Linked DNA regions of Pelodiscus sinensis. The protein of the gene in region 2 interacts with the protein of the main gene of each other region in a pairwise test. Links are inferred from orthologs where the notes say so. Each region holds a gene or a part of one and is shown on either strand. Other genes may lie near its edges.

Evidence for each region.
Region 1: the proteins of SF1 (region 2) and DDX17 interact in binary tests that used the Homo sapiens proteins (3 or more experiments, as listed by UniProt). The link is inferred for Pelodiscus sinensis from reciprocal best matches to the Homo sapiens genes SF1 and DDX17.

Annotation. Positions count from the first base shown.
Region 1 is NC_134711.1:91,724,126-91,732,767, forward strand, and holds the start of DDX17 (putative ATP-dependent RNA helicase DDX17), read left to right. Parts: upstream 1-4,611; 5' UTR 4,612-4,874; coding exon 4,875-4,918; intron 4,919-5,010; exon of another isoform or gene 5,011-5,340; intron 5,341-6,558; exon of another isoform or gene 6,559-6,576; intron 6,577-8,642. UniProt on the Homo sapiens protein: As an RNA helicase, unwinds RNA and alters RNA structures through ATP binding and hydrolysis.
Region 2 is NC_134721.1:35,854,864-35,863,402, forward strand, and holds the start of SF1 (splicing factor 1), read right to left. Parts: upstream 3,882-8,539; 5' UTR 3,798-3,881; coding exon 3,308-3,797; intron 1,309-3,307; coding exon 1,180-1,308; intron 1-1,179. Other genes in the region: MAP4K2 (mitogen-activated protein kinase kinase kinase kinase 2), read right to left, coding at 6,444-6,531, 7,716-7,771, 8,011-8,081, 8,300-8,386, 8,482-8,539. UniProt on the Homo sapiens protein: Necessary for the ATP-dependent first step of spliceosome assembly. Binds to the intron branch point sequence (BPS) 5'-UACUAAC-3' of the pre-mRNA. May act as transcription repressor.

The DNA.
Region 1 (8,642 bases), on a different chromosome or scaffold from region 2:
CTCTTCTCTTCTGCAGATTAAACAAACCCAAATCCCTCAGTCTCTCCTCGAAGGTCATGTGCTCCAGCCCCCTAATCATTTTGATCGCCCTTTGCTGGACCCTCTCCAATGCATCCACATCCTTTCTATAGTGGGCGCCCCAGAACTGGACACAGTACTCCAGTTGTGGCCTCACCAGAGCCGAATAAAGGGGAATAATCACTCCTCTGAATCTGCTGGCAATGCTCCTCCTAATGCGCCCTAATATGCCATTAGCCTTCTTGGCTACAAGGGCACACTGTTGACTCATATCCAGCTTCTCATCCACTGTAATCCCCAGGTCCTTTTCTGCAGAACTGCTACTTAGCTATTCGGTCCCCAGCCTGTAACAATGCTTGGGATTCTTCCGTCCCAAGTGCAGGACTCTACACTTGTCGTTGTTGAACCACATCAGATTTCTTTTGGCCCAATCCTCTAATCTGTCCAGGTCACTCTGGACTCTATCCCTGTCCTCCAGTGTATCTACCTCTCCCCCTAGCTTAGTGTCATCTGCGAACTTGCTGAGGGTGCAATCCATCCCCTCATCCAGGTCATTAATAAAGATGTTGAACAAAATCGGTCCTAGAACAGATCCTCGGGGCACTCCGCTAGAAACCGACCGCCAACCTGACATTGAGCCATTGATCACTACCTGTTGGGCTCGACAGTCTAGCCAGCTTTCTATCCATCTTACAGTACATGTATTGAATCCATACTCCCTTAACTTGCTGGCAAGAATATTGTGGGAGACCTTATCAAAAGCTTTGCTAAAGTCAAGGTATATCACATCCATTGACTTTCCCATATCCACAGAGCCAGTTATCTCATCATAGAAGCTAATCAGATTGGTCAGGCACGACTTGCCCTTTGTGAATCCATGTTGACTATTCCTGATCACTTTCCCCTCTTCCAAGTGCTTCAAAATGGATTCCTTGAGGATCCCCTCCATGATTTTTCCAGGGACTGAGGTAAGCCTGACGGGTCTGTAGTTTCCTCGATTGTCCTTCTTCCCTTTTTTAAAGATGGGCACTACATTTGCCTTTTTCAAATCATCCAGGATCTCTCCCGATCTCCACGAGTTTTCAAAGATAATGGCCAAAGGCTCCGCGATGACATTTGCCAATTCCCTCAGTACCTTCGGTTTCATTAAATCCGGGCCCATGGATTTGTGTATATTTAGCTTTTCTAAATAGTTCCTAACTTTTTCTTTCCCCACCAAGGGCTGTCCACCTCCTTCCCATACTGCATTGCCTAGTGCATTTGTCTGGGAGCTGACCTTGTCCGTGAAGACAGAGGCAAAGAAAGCATTGAGTACTTCAGCTTTTCCCACATCATCTGTCACTAGGTTACCTCCCTCATCCAGCAAGGGCCCCACACCTTCTCTGATCACCCTCTTATTGCTAACATGCCTGTAGAAACCTTTCTTTTTTTCCTTCACGTCCCTTGCTAATTCCAGTTGCACTTTCACCTTCCCGATAACTCCCCTGCATTCTTGAGCAATATATTTATACTCCTTTCTAGTCATCTGGTTGCCTACCATATTTGCTTCTCTTGCTGTGCATCAGGATGGTTTCTTCCTGTGCCTTTAATAAGGCTTCTTTAAAATACTGCCAGCTCTCCTGGACTCCTTTCCCCTTCATGTAAGTATTCCAGGGAATCCTACCCATCAGTTCTCTGAGTTAATCGCATTGATAAACAAGAGAATACCAATTGAAATGTATTAAATATTGTGGACATTTTTCTATATTTTCAATTACAATACAAAATGTACAGTGCTTACTTTTTTTAAAATTACAAATATTTGAACTGTAAAATGATGAAAAAATAGTACCTCTTTATACTTTGGCCATCATGCCAGAGAACATGCCTCCAGGCTGATGATGCACATTAAAAAATAATGTTAATTACATTTGTGACTGAACTCCTTAGGGGAGAATTGTATGTCTCATGCTGTGTAGTACCTGCATTCTGCCATATATTTAATGTTGTAGCAGTCTAGGAAGATGACCCAGCAAATGTTGTTCATTTTAAGAACACTTTCACTGCAATTTTGACAAAACACAAAGAAGTTCTAAAGCTAACTACAGCACTTGACCCAAGGTTTAAGAATCAGAAGTACCTTCCAAAATCTGAGGGAGAAGGTGTGGAACATGCTTTCAGAATGGGAGCTGAAGTGTGAAGGGACGAATCTTTAGCACATCAGGCATGTAAATATTTTGTGATGCTGGCTACAACCATGTCATGCAAACAACTGTTTTTCCTTTCAGGTGACATTTTAAACATGGAGCAGGCAGCATTATCCCTTGCAAATGTAAACACATTTGTTTGAGTGGACAAGAAGTAGGATTCAGTGGACTTGTAGGCTCTAAAGTTTCACATTGTTTTATTTTTAAATGCAGTTATTTTTTGTATATGTCTACTTTTTTAATTTCAACTTTCAGGATAAAGAGATTGCATTATAGTACTTATAATGGGGAACTGAAAAATACTATTTTTTTACAGTGTAAATATTTGTACAAAAAATAAAGTGAGCACTGTACACTACATATTCTGTGTTGTAATTGACATAAAATATTGAAAAGATGGAAACATCCAAAATATTCAAAAATATAGTATTCTATTATTGTTTAAGAGCATGGTTAGCCACATGATTAATTGTGATTCATTTCTAATCACATGATTAATCACAATCAATTTTTTTAATCATTTGACAGCTTCACTGAAAATGCTTGCATCTGTTGTCCATTTTAAAAAATGTAATGGTAGTAATCCCAGTGTTCTGGCCATATTCTAATTTAAATTAAGTAGATAGTTGAAGTTCCCCTGTTGTTTCAAGTGGACATATTTTTATCTACCTCCCATCTGTGTATTTATGCAGTTAAAGAATGTGTAGCTTCTTCACCAGAGGTGACTAATTTGAGGTGTATGAATTGTGATGCCTGGATATCATTTATATGGATCAGATCCTTTTCTTTGAGAGGCAAAAAAGCTTGTGTAAGGCACAACAATTATGCAAAGGTTTCCCTTTAGGGCTTCTTTTTTGCTGCTAACACTTGAGATATTGTGGGGGTGATGCTCCTGCAAAGCAAATACCTGGCAGCTCCGCACCCTGCCCTCAGACAGTGTTTCCATAGCATTGGAATGACATTGCAGAGCTCCCCAGCATTCAGGTCAGTGGAGTTTTATGCTTTCCACTTGTGGAAGCATGGAAAATAATAGGGCCATAAAAATACTTTGGTATCCTTCAGAATAAAAAGGACCAGAGGAATACAATATACATAGTCAAATTCATTTCTCATTTACAAATCTATGAATGCCTATTGATTCCAGTGGAGTTACACAAATGTAAGAGAAGGAAGTATTTTGCCAATTATTATTACAAGATTATGAAAGGATTTAAAATATTGTCCTTATTAACACTAAAACATGTAAACTTTTAAGTTGTAACAATACTTCAAAACACGCAATATATCACCACACAAAATAGCATTGTTTGCCCTGTTTTTGTAGCTGTGTTGGTCCGGAGAGAGACAGGGTGAGGTAATACTTTTTATCGAACCAGCTTCTGTGAGTAAAAGAGAAACTTTCAAGCTTCACCTTCTAGGCAGTGGAATAGTGCTTGTCAATGCTTCTGTACTTTTGTTTTTTGACCAGATCGCAAGGAATCTCCTTCCTATTGAAGGGGCTGTAATTATTTCACGTAAATAATTACATTAATTTAGCTAAATTTCCTTCCCCTTTCTTTTTGCTTTACTGGAAACAAGGAGAGAGTAAATATCATGGCGGCTGCTACTGGCCTCGTCCTGTCTGTGCACTGCGGCAAGATCGCTTTTATGACATGTGTAGGCAAACAAACATGCACTTTACACGACAACCCCTTCTCTGCCCCAGCAGACACTGAGCTTAAATGTTGTGTCAGCCTGGTGAGTTTCCTGAACAAGACGCAGCCTGGGGGTGAGGGTGGGGGGGATTTCTTAGGCAGCAGAGCTAAATTGCACCAAGGCCTTTTCAACTCTGCAGCTTGCCACACAGAATTATTGTCTCTCCAGCTTGCTGCCACCTCCCACTCATGCAGTTGCTGCAAAGGCAAAAAGACCTTATTCTCCAAGCACAATACGCTACGCGAACCATGCAATTCTGCACCCCCCCCCTCCGCCGGCCAGCTGAGCAGAAGCAACTGAAGAATTTTACGCAAAATGGAAGGCTCTTCCTTCCCCTACGCTAAACCCAGCTCAGAACCAGCCACTGCTACGAAACTTGTGTAGAATAATGTACGTAATATGCCGCTTGGTCAGGGTTTGCCTCCCCGTTCGTTAAATGGGTTACTTGAGTGGCATTTTGCGCAATCGAATTTCGGGAATAAGGAACAGCGTTGTCTCCAAACGCAAGAAGCCAAATCAGATCGTGGGTACTACGCAATTTGCGCATTGTCGTGGTTAGGTTCGGCTTTCCGGCCTCATACGTACTCAGACTTCGAGAATAGGCGTAGCGACGTTCGTATCACCCCTCCCCCACGCCGGCTATTCAGGGACGGAGCTTGCGCAAAGTTCAAGCCGCCCTTAACGTAAGTGGAGCGGGCTGGGGCGGCGGCAGCCATTTTGTGCCGGGAGCCCAGAGGAGGAGGACGCTGTTCTGTCTCCGCGCCCGACGGGCCCTCAGGCGAACCGAGCCGCTCTCGGCCCCGCGAACCGAGCCCGACCGAGTCTCTCGCCTCCCCGCCCCCTCCCTCGGGAAGTGAGGCGGCCAAAGGCGACTCCGCCGGGACACAACAGCCGCCGCCGGCCGAGCCCCCCCACCCCTTCCGCGCCACCCCCAGCTCGCGCCCCTCTGTGCCCCCCGCCCAGCCCCACGGGAAGATGCGGGGCTTCGGAGACCGGGGCCGGGACCGCGACCGCGGCGGGTAAGAGCGGGGGGGTGGGGGGAGCGCGGTGTGGGGGAGGGGCGGCGGGGAAGTAGCCAGGCAACGCCCCGGGGCTGGGCCGCGGGGGTCACCTCCTCGGGCCGTGGACTGGGAAGGTCTTGGACTCGGCTGGATCCAAGGCGAGGCGGTTCCGGGTCTGTGAGGAGCCGCTGGCGGGTGACCCGAGGGGAGGCCGCGGGGGGGCTCTTCGGATTGGAGAGTGAGGGGCCCTAGGTCGCCGCCCGGCTCGGGAGGAATCGCCCCCGCGCACCTTTGTTCCTGCTCTTGCGGTGTCTGGCGCGAGAGGGACGGGGCCGTTTCCCCTCTGGCCGGCAGGATACCCCCCCCCCCCTTCCCTGTCACTGGGTTCGAGTTCATGGCCTTTGACTTCGCTTCTCCTTCTTCCGCACTGGTCACACTTTGAGCCGTAAGGATCCCTCTTCCTCAAGCTGCTGGCCTTGCTTTAGGACTCTGCTTGCCAGGGACAGCACACGGAGTTTGTGGAGGGGACTGGTCCTGACCCTTTTTCTGAATGTCATGGCTATTAACGTGGCCAGAAAAATGGTTGTTAAATAACAGTGCCTATTTCTGCAGTATTCCTAGCCCCTGTTGAAGGTGATGGTGAAAACAGACATGAAAAGTGAACGTGAGCCTTTTGTGTAGTAGCAAAGAGCCCTTAAGCCTGATGAGTGTACCCAGGGTAAGGGGTGGAAAAATCTGCAATCAAACTACGATGTTCCATATTGCTGTGCCTATCAAGTTGGTTCCTTGCTCTTTTGATATCACTCATCATGGGGCCTAATAGAGTTTAGGAAAATAGGATTCAGTTGAGCTCTGATTTTGGGGAACAAGTATAAGACCTCATTTAATCATAAAATAGAAAATATATGAATGGTCCGGGATTGATATTTGAGTACTTGATTTAGTAGAATGGGGTTAAGAAATGGCAATACCTCAAGTTTTTCCTGGAAAAGACTAGTAGGGATTAAAGAGAAGGAATTGGGTCCTGACAGAGAGCAAATAAAATATACTTACTCCTTGTCTTATTTCTCCTTTGACTGATTTTTGAGTCAAGAAATGTGCCTGTTTGCTATATTCAAATGTATTTCCCCTTTTCTCAAGATGAAGTTGAACAATGTTTTGTTAAAATTATCTTTCCCAATAGACTGGATAATCTAAGAGCTCCACTTCAATTTTATATTCACATCAGACATACATATAAGTAACTCCCATCTGAAATATAAAGATCCTTTCAGTTACATTGCAGAGAATAGGGCCTTTTTGTTTTTCCACTATAAGCTTTCTAGTTCAGTGAAAAGCAGGTCTTGGGGTAAATGGTTTGGTGAATCTCAGATGACTTAGTCCCTAGCTGTTTTTAGAGTTAAGTGAAGAGTAATGGTATTCAGAACTATACATAGGTATTTAAAGGGACGCTATCCAGATTTTGAGGCATCAGCATTTGACCTGCCTTTACATATAATCCTATTTTGAGTAAAAATATGCTTTTAAAAAACTTTATTTTCAGATTTTATTAAGCCATGTTTTGGGTAGAACCTACAGAAATACAATACTTTGTTCTCTTTAGAATTATGCTGACGTTGATTCACCTTGCATCATCAAAATGTATTATGACAGGGTTTAGAGTGACCACAGGAAAGGTATTTATAATAATCTTATTTCATATCCATGAAAAATGAAGGTGGGAGAAAATAGTCTTGTCAAAAAGAAAAGGACAGAGTCAGGAATAGGGAAACTACTTGACAATGAATCTTACAAAAAAAAGTTTTAATTCACAGAAAGCTATAAATTATGGGCTTTGGCCCTGATCTCATTCCAAGTAATATTTGGCTTTGTTGCATAGCTTTATGAATTGCTACAAAAAGTCACAACTTTTTGTAATATAAACTGGATTGTGTGTGTGTGTGTGTGCGCGCGCGCCTGTGCATGTATCAGATAGTGAAACAGTAACAAGTATTTCTAATATTGAAAACTCTATTCCTGAATGGTTCCATACCAAAAATTCAGCACATCATAACTTTAAAAAAATTATTTCTGAGATCTAAAACAATGTTTTTTATGACTTGCAGTAATGGAAAATTGTATGGTGGGATTTGAAAGATAATTAGATAGTCCACTTACTGTGTTAGACAAACTTCAGTTGGATGTTTACTTTCTAGTTGCACTCAATTCTTGTTGCAGAGTCATTTAGATCTGGATTTTTGTGTGTCTTGTCCTGAATAAGTTGTTAATGACCTTAATAACACTGATATGGTGCAGTTTTACTTTAGCACTTGAATAAGATGCTGTAGCATTAAGTTCTGGAGGTAGCTGCATTTCAGTTATTGGTGAAGTGAATCAGTCACCACTGAACAAGGACAAATAATGCCATGCAAATAAGCAGAATTACTCTAGGTTTACAATTGAAATTGTAATCTGTTCCATATCAGTAATAGGGTTGTTAAATATCAAGTAATTGACTAATCAAATAGTCGATGCATTTTGCAATGACTATTTGATTAGTCGATAGGGCGCCTTCCACCTTTGAATTGTAGCAAAAGCCCTACACTTCAAAGGTGGAGGCACTGCATGGAGCCCAAGGTCAGCTGTTGACTCCCCCGTTGATCCTGGGCTCCATGCAGAACTGCAGCTTTGAAGCATTGCAGGGAGCCCGGTGTCAGGCTCCTCATGACGTTTCAAAGTGGCAGCGCCCTGTGGAGCCTGGGGACTCCTCCCGGTGACCCTGGGGGCTGCATGCGGCATTTCAAAGTGGCAGCACCTTGTAGAGCCCAGGGTGTGGTCCCAGGCTCCACGTGGTGGTGCTGCTTTGAAGTACCCCTTTCTCTCCCTCCACCCTCCCACCTCTTTCTGATAGGCAGCAAGGAGAGGGGAGAGTGACTAGTTGGCTAGCCTGTCGACTATCCGATAAGCATTTGCTTATCAGATAGTCATTCACGTCCCTAATCAGTATGTGAAATGTGAGGTACCTCAGGATCAAAATATGATGTGTTGGGGTATTAAATGCTAAAATACTCACTTTTTGGAAAGCCAATCTAAAGCTATATATGTGTAAGCAGAGCCACATGGAACTGAATCTCTTGACACTGCATTGTGGTTTTGTGTGTTGATGACAGTAAAACCCTTAGGCTGTGTCTACACTGGGCCACTTATTCTGGAATAGCAGCCGTTTTTCCGGAATAAGCTGCGAGCTGTCTACACTGGCCGCTTGCTTTTCCGGAAAAGCAATGATGATCTAATGTAAAATCGTCATTGTTTTTCCGGAAAAACTATGCTGCTCCTGTTTGGGCAAAAGTCCTTTTCCGGAAAAACTGTTCCGGAAAAGGGCCAGTGTAGGCAGCACAGTAGTCTTTTCCGCAAAAAAGCCCCGATCACGAAAATGACGATCGGGGCTTTTTTGCGGAAAAGCATGTCTACATTGGCACGGACGCTTTTCCGGAAAAAGTGCTTTTCCGGAAAAGCATCCTGCCAATGTAGACGCGCTTTTCCGGAAATACTTATAACGGAAAAACTGTTCCGTTTTAAGCATTTCCGGAAAAGGGTGCCAGTGTAGACGTAGCCATATTATTGTCCAAATATCTAAGACCTCAAACTTGCAAACATTCATGCATATATTTTAATTTTTACTCATCTGCGGTAGTGCTGTTGTCCTCAGCACTAAATTACCCACGTTCATACCTTCAAGCTTTAAACTAGCTTAGTCTGAAGA
Region 2 (8,539 bases):
CAGCCTTGCCAGTAAACCATTAACAGATTTAAGTAGTAATCATTGCCAGCTCTCAGCACTGCTGTGGATGGACAAGGAAATCAGTTACAAAGCAAATCAAAATTCTCAGTGGTTATGCAGAAGAAAGAAACCAAGAATTGTTTTCAACCTCAAGCAGATGAACTGGATCAGACTGTCTTGTGAAGAAGAGCTCGCTTTATGTAAAAAGGCAAGAATAGAATTACATGTGACAATGCAAAGTCTCAGACACATTAGAAATTTTTTTTGCCTCTCTCACACTCCTGGCTTATCAGTTCATGAAAAGTGAATTTAGCATCACTGTTTGCAATTGAAGGCAAAGTTAATGTTAAAACCTTGTATTTATAAATCAAGTTAATTAAAACATTCTTATTCCCATACTGGTATGGTGTAGTCCCAAAGACCAATCTTAACCTTTGAAATTCCCCATTTTCACAACTAATATTTCAAATCCCTTCATACCCACATAACTAAGCCATATCCCTTGCTCAGCAGTTTGTGTGCATGTGAATACAGAGTTCATTAAGCAGAGCTCTAACTAGAAGAGATGCTGAAAGTTTAGATTTCTTGCCACACAGAAAAAAAGTTTCTTAATTTCCCTGACAGCAAAACCAATGTGATCAATACCACCTTGAATGCAAAACTGAACTTCTAGGAAGGTTATTTTTTTAAATTAAGCACCCTAAAAGTAAGTCAGAGACTAGGTTGGGGTGGGGACATTTCTGGTGTACAGCTGTGCTGTGAAAGGAGGCACCTGCTTCCCACATACTACAGTGTGAAGAGGGACTTGGAGGCAATGTTCTCCACTGGAGAGGTAATTCTAGAGGCTCCCACCAACTGTAATGAGATTATTAAGTACACCTCCAGAATAAGGGCCAATATATCTAGAGAAAGGACTATCACACCTACAAAAACTATTCTAGCCATTCCATTTTCACCATGCCTGTGGAGAACATTACTCCTGTCACAAGCAGGAGAGGGGAGCTGCAACAGTGCATGACTGAGCAAATGTGTGAGAATTATTGATTTGAAGTTATGTAATAAGGCCATAATAACCTGAAGTCTAGAAAAAAAAGGTTAACTTTCAAATCACTCAGAATCCAGAAATAGGATCACCACTGACAGCAGATCAGATGGGAAAAGGGGAGAACGTGTATTTACCTATATAAGCTCTCTCTTGCTCACGAGTGAGTCCAGGAGGGATAACAGTGGGCATTCCTGGGATGACAGTCTTCTGCTCCATGGTGTCTTGGTTCCATCTGCTTCTCTTCCGCTTCTTATTAGGGAAATCTAAAGGCAAGCATCCTTTTTTAGACAAACTTTGTATGTTTGAAGGTGTTTCTACAACATAACATAACATAACACAAAAGTTATTAACAGCAACACTGAGCACACAGAATTCCCTTAAATAAAAAATACTGACAAGGCAACCTACACTCCTTCCAATACCAAATCTCTTATAGGGATGAGAAAAGTTGCACACAGTTTTAGTGGATATAATTTCAGTTCAATCACTGACCTGCCAATTGACTTTGGACAAATAACTTTACCTCTGTGCTATGCCGGTTTCCACTCTACTCCCTGTCTATTCAGCCTTTATGTTTTTACTGTCACCGTGTTTGCACAGCACCTAGTACTGTGTGAATGCTATCTATGTTCAGGCCATTGGGTGCTACCACAATACGTAGACAAAAACAAGCAAAAGCAGCCATGTTGCCATGTTAAAAGATGTATTTATTGTCAGCAAATAAGCAAGGGACAAACTCAGTAGACTTGAGTTCAACAGAACAGTGATATCAACTACAAAATTATGCTCCTCAATCAAGCTAGTCAAACCAACTGAAAACAGGAAGGCTCTCTAAAGAAAAAACATTACTCTAGAATCCAACACTATTTTTCTAATAATTTCTGCCACCATTTTTAAAGGGAATGTTACAGTTCTGATTTCCATCAGTAAAGCAACATGGCTGCCTCACAGCACCATTTCACATTCAGCCTCTTTGTACACATTACAAGACCTGGGATATTTACATTGGATGATGTGATGGGAAACTATCTATACCCACAGCAGTTTTCCTTTAACAGTGTGTAGGAAATTGTTACTGCTCCTTTTTTATGCTGAGCTTTCACGTGCCTTCACACAGAAAAGCATTCTGTTATGATTTAAATACAGATTTCCAAAATGAGCTCTTATTGTAAAGATTAGAAGATTAACAGGATTAGCTATCTCTAATCATTTTGCTAAAAAGAGAGACCAGCAAAAACAGAAAGTGAAAGAAGAGACCATGGTAGCTTTTACCCTCATTTCTTCCCAATACTACACAGACCTCCATTTTGGTTGCATGAGTATCTGCTAATGCCTATAAACACCACCAGGCCTCCTTTCTTCCAAGAATACCAATCTCAGGCTGTTCAGTGTTTTGGGACTTCAGTTTTGTGCCCAAAGCTTCCACTGAACAGCACATGCCCACATGTTTAGAACCCCCGTTTTAAGATATCAACACTCAGATCTTTTTTTTCCTCTTGGTACCCACAACCAAGTCTTTCCATCCATCTTCCTAGCCACAAACCCACTCTCCAATTAAGAATGTTCCCTTGCTCAATTCTCTTTCTTCAAAGAAAACAGCCAACACCTCAACCCATCCTGTTCCCCTTCATTTCCCCATATTTGGCTGGTTCATCTTCCACCTAGACTCATTCTCCATTTATCAATCTAGTCTCATCCTACTCCTATTTATCCCCATCTCATTCAACCTTTTATTAGTCACAACCCTTTTCCTCTTTCCCAGTACTCAACACCATCACTTCCTTCCATTCTCAAATATACCTCTTTCCCTGCAATACCCCTACAAAGTGTCAAGAGACGTCTCATCCCATGAACCCTTAAACACCATTTTACCCATTCCACTTCTACCCCATCCCACAATTGCCAAAACTATAACTCTCTCTCCGTTTCAGCCCCTTTAACTCCCCATGGCCATCTCAAAAGCCCCAATGCCTTCACTTTTTCACTGTAACGTCCCCCAAAATTGCCTACCCAGCCTAGACTCGCAACTAGCTTCAAAAGGTGCCGAGCCAGTTCCCTCACCGAACACTGCCACATTTACACATAACACCCACCGCTCCAGCTTCCCAACGTCCATCGCTCCCTCGCAGTGCTTGCCTCTTACTTCTATAGACCCTCATACCGCCCGACGGTTCATCTGCAGCCCCACACCCAACCTACAATTCTTCCTAGCCCCACTCTTATGACCCTCCCTCTCCGACCCCCTTTCGTCCTGCTCCTCACCGTGGTTACTGCCCCCTCCCGGGCCGCTCTCATCCTGCTGCGGTTGTTGCTGCGGCGGCGGCTGCTGCTGCTGTTGCTCATGGCCCTGCGGGGGCGGCGGCGGGGACGGGTAGCGGTACTGCCCGTACTGAGGGGGAGCCTGAGGCCCCCCAGCCTGGGGCGGCTGCTGCTGTTGTTGTGGAGGAGGCGGCGGCGGTGGGGGCGGCGGGGGCTGCGGTTGCTGCGGCGGGGGCTGAGGCTGGGGCGGCGGGGGAGGTGGGGGTGGAGGAGGGGGCGGCGGCGGCAGCGCGGCGAAGGGGTAGGCAGCAGCCGCCATAGGCCCCAGCAAGGCGGCTTGGGCCTGGCCCGGGCCTGGCGGCGGTGGAGGAGGAGGACCCGGGAGGACCAGCCCAGGTGGACCCGGCGGAGGCATCGGGTAACCTGGCTTCCCCGGTGGTGGGGGTGGATGGAGCTTCCCTAGCGGCGTGGCGTTGGCTCCAGTCGCCGCCATTAGAGTCTCCTCAGCGCGGCGTTCGCGTTTCGCGAACCTTCCAGCCTATGCGCCTCACAAAGCTACTCGAAAATCATTGGCCGCCGAGATGTCAGTCGTACGCGCACGTCCTTCTATTGGCAGCGCCATGCGTCCGTTAGCCAACCGCGCTGATACATTGGCCGAGCCGCTCCAGTGAAAGAAAGTCATTGGAGGAGAGGAGACAAGTGCTGAAGGCAACACCCATAGGTCAGATGAGATGTCACTCTCTAGCGAACAGTGATGGGAATGGTTGAGCGGCAGTATGCGTGAGAAGGAGGGATGAAAGACAAGTTATGATTGGTTGACTGGGCATTTAAGGCGCGGTACTTGCAGTGTGGCACGGTGGGCGGGAACACAGTTAGGTTTCCGTGTTAGGACTGGTTGAAGAGACGGAGGGCGGGCTCTCGGGATATCGAGCTGCGTCTGGATTGGGGGAGGGGGCGGTCTTGCGACACTCGCGGCGCGCCTTAGAGGTTTTGCAAAGGTCGTTGGAAGACCCCGTACAGTGCGGGGTCGGTTGGTCGTGACGTTAATGCGGAGGTTTCCTCTTATTGGGCAGAGCGCAGCGCAGTCGCCCATGATTGGTGAAAGGGTCTTTCAATTAACGGAGCATTCTCTGATTGGTGAGTGATAGGGCGGGAGCGATCCTGGGTGCGAAGCTGTGCCCCAGAGCCCCAGTGAGTGCAGGCACCGCCTCCCCCTGTCAGGGGCTCATGGGAGCCTAGCCTCCTCCTCCTCACCCTGCTGCAGCCCGAGGGGCTCCTGGGAACTAGGCTTGGGGAAGGCGGTGCTAGGCCACATCACCTGCACCGTGGTGCACAGCAAAACTATAGGGGTGAGCCGGGAGATGAAGGCTACGGCTTAAAAGCCAGCTCCCCACAAGCACTGACTGCTGCTGCCTGTAACTGCTAAGAACCCAGCGGTTACATGTTTACACAAATACATGTTTTACATCCCTAGTCTTCAGCCCTTCTCCGAGGCTACATTTCACTTGCAAGGAGAGCGTAGTCCCAGCCCACAAACACACAACTGTGTTCTCCTTACCCCTGCCCAGGTCCCAGTGATAGTGGCTGGGACTATTACCCCATCCCATGATAAACAACAGTTCTCATGGAGGAAGAAGGGGGTTTCAGGCAGGACTGAAAACCAGTCCTTACCAATTAGTGTGACAGCAATAAAAACTAGAAAGGACAGCAGTGGACCTGAATAGGCAAAGAGGCCCCAATGGCTCTCCCCTAGGAATGATTCAGCCAATTAACACCAAGCAAACAAAAGACACATTTAATATCAATATATCTCTTAAATAGCATATTTTTTCAAGTTTTGTTTTTTATCCATAAATTCCAGCTCTCAGTTAAAAAACAGAGAAATTAGCAAAACAGAAAGGGAAGCTTCCACTGCCTGAGTTAGTAGAGCTGTTGGCCCCAAGATTCTGATCTCTGTCACAATGGCATTTAGGATTGGCACAGTTTTCCAAGGCAGCAAAAGAACAAGGCATCCCAACAGCCAGCCAGTTTAACACACTGCCTGGTAGTGAAGCAGTCTGCTTCATTTTAAAACAGTCATCCATCCACCCACCCACCCACCCATCTTTTCATGCTCAGAATGCCAACCATGCATCCAGTCTCTCTGTAGCAGATACTCTCAAACCTCTTTTATACCAATCAGCCACCCCACCCTGCGAAGCAATTGGCTTACTCACTAAACAAGTCCCTCACATTGCCTCATCAGCCAAACCCATATTTCCCCTCATTCACCCAAGTATTGCCCCAGCCACTTCCAAACCAAACCACCACCTCATCCTGCTAATCACCACTCCCTACCAACAAGCACTCAACTCTCTGCCACCAAGCCATCACCCAGCTACTTAAACCAGCCAACCTATGCCCAACCAGCCATCACACTCTTCCCCTCATCAGAACTCATGCAGCCAAGCAACCTGCCCAACCATTACCAAAACAGTCAAATAGGTATCCCAGCCACTGATTCAACAGGTTTGTCCCACCTCAAGCTTTGCTTGTTGCTTACACTTTGAATGAGAAGACACAGAATTGCTTTCCCACTCCTTTTGCTGAAGATGTTTGCCAGATTTCTGGACCTTAAGTGCTACATAGGAAAAAGAATGCACCCACTGGAAAATGGATTGTCTTCATGTTGAAGCTGGAGGAGGACACTTTCACAACATGTCTCTCCAGAAGACCCCTTCTTAGGATTAAGAATGGGGTGGGGAGGAGAGAAGAGGAAGCATTCAGCAGGCACAAGTATCAGTCAAGACAGACTAAGGAGGCTTCTTTGGACTGGCTGGTAGTCAATTATTGCAAACATAAGAGTCTCAGGAGATGCTCACTCTAAAAGGGCAGAAGGAATCTCTCCATACACTTCTGAAAAACAGGAGTATCTCAGGAAGACTTTGGACAACAGAAGAGGTGGACTGTAGAGTTTATAAAATAGAATCCATCTGGCATGGATTCCCACAACACAAGATGGACCTTGCTCATGGGAAGAGTTCCCTAGGCTCCTGCTATCTCAGAAATCAGTAGTTTAAATCATCACAGCAGAATTTCCCCTTGCACTGGGGCTCTGCATCCATCCCCATGGGGATGTTGGAAAGGCAGTTCCACATACTCAATAGCTGCTCTCATGCCCCGTTAGGATGTAGAGGTTGCTGTGAGCTAAAGGATTCTCCGTAGGCGTGCTCTCCAGGATTACATCTCTGGAAAGAAATTTCAGGGAGGTAGCTGTGTTAGTCTGTTTCCGCAAAAACAACTATGGAGCCTTAAAGACTAACAATTCATGGTCAGAATGTTTTTTGAGCAGAACAGGACGACTGTTTTGCTCAAAGGTGACTTGAGAGATGTAGCTAGGAATGCAACTCAGCAAAGCCAGCCCCAGCCATGAATGTATTCCACCACCCAATCTAGACCCCATTCCAGTCCCACAGCCATGAATGCAGTCTACCTATCACACAAAACCAAACCCTCTACGCAACTCCAGCCCTCCCCCCTCAACCCAATCACACAACCTTGGCCACCATGCAAAATCAGCCTCTCCAATCCAACCATGCAAAATCAACTCTTGGTTCAAGTGCTGGGCACATTTATCTGACCTCATCATTTCTCATATAAACATAACAGCATTTCATTATACAGCCAGTCCCCGACTTACAAAAGCATCGACTTATGACCATCCACACTTATGACCAACCTCCCATTAATCCCATTACAGCTGGTCCCCGACTAACGAATGCACCATCCACACTTACGAACAGTGTGGCTGTATGTAAAAGCATGTATTTCCGACTTACGAACAAATGGAGTTACAATCAGGTGTTTGGAACGTAAGTCGGGAACTGGCTGTATAAACCCAAACTAAACTCCCCACACATGCTTCTCCCTTAGCAAGATGACAAAAGAACCACCACTTTATGCTTAATGTGCTCCTGGCACGTGCTCTGATACTGCAATGATAAGCACAGCAGCATAACTTCATCCCAGTTATACAAACCCAGTCCCTAATACAGCACATTCACCATGCAACCTCTGGCTTGCCCAGAATGCAGCCCAAACCCTGACAAGCCTGCAAATCCACCCAGTCATGTAACATCCCACAGGATCAAGGGTACAGGATGCACACACTAGAGTGTGCAAGATGGAGACCAGCTACTAAAGTGATCTGGCCTAGGCAAGAGGAAGGAAAAAAGTTCTCAGCTCCTGGTCTCCCAGATAATTTTCCCACTGTCCCAGCCTTGCAGGCTGGCAACAGGTTCCTACCACAGCCAGACTGGGGGTAGCGAGCTATAGCAGGGCAGCCATACCACTTGATCAGAGGGTGGAGACAGCAGGACAAGAATTGCTTGCTGCCATCTGCCATGACTACATCCTCACTTTGGGGTCTCACCTGTTGGCTCCCAGCACACGGAACATCCTGGATTTATCTGTGATTTCTTGGGTCACCTGTCAAGGAGAAGGTTCAGATCAGCACAGAGTTCTCCCAGCCCAGATCCCTACTGGGTCAATGCATCTCCATCCCCTACCCAACGATGGGGATAGATCCTATATCACAGAGTCTCCCTCAGGAGCAATACTACCTCTGCATACATCATCTCCAAGTTATTCCCCCCTGCAGCGTCTGATCCCCCCTCATCTAGGGAAGATAGGTAGATGCATCCACCCAAGCCCTGACCTGCACTCACCTCATTGCTCTCCAGACTGCGGCCCTGCATGCCATGTTTCCAGAAGGCCAGCACACTGTCTTGAAGGCACACTGTGGTGGGCAGGACAGAAAGACAGGGGTGAGTGGCAGATGTTATGGATGACCACATCTTGGAAAGCTGGCATGTGGAGGACACTTATCAGGGCAGGTAGGAGAGTACAGGAGGAAGAGAAGGTTGGACAACCCCTGAGATCACCAGGCCAAGCTGGAATGCGGGAGATAAGCAGGCCAGTGGAAGCTCTATCCCCAAGAGACCTTCCCCCACTCACCAATTGTCTCAATGGGGAAGTTGAAAGTGAGCTCTGAGGCCAGGGCTCTCTTGGGGGCCCCACACAAGTTCACTGTCCTTACATAGCCTGTGGGAAGAAAGAGAGGCTGTCAGCATCGACAGTGGCCAGGCCTGAGCCAATGGGGGTGGGACTGGCGGGGGCATGCTGGGGGTGGGACTTACGCTCAAAGCAAACGAGGACTGTGTCTCTGTCCATCTGAGTCACATGGCTGGCCACACT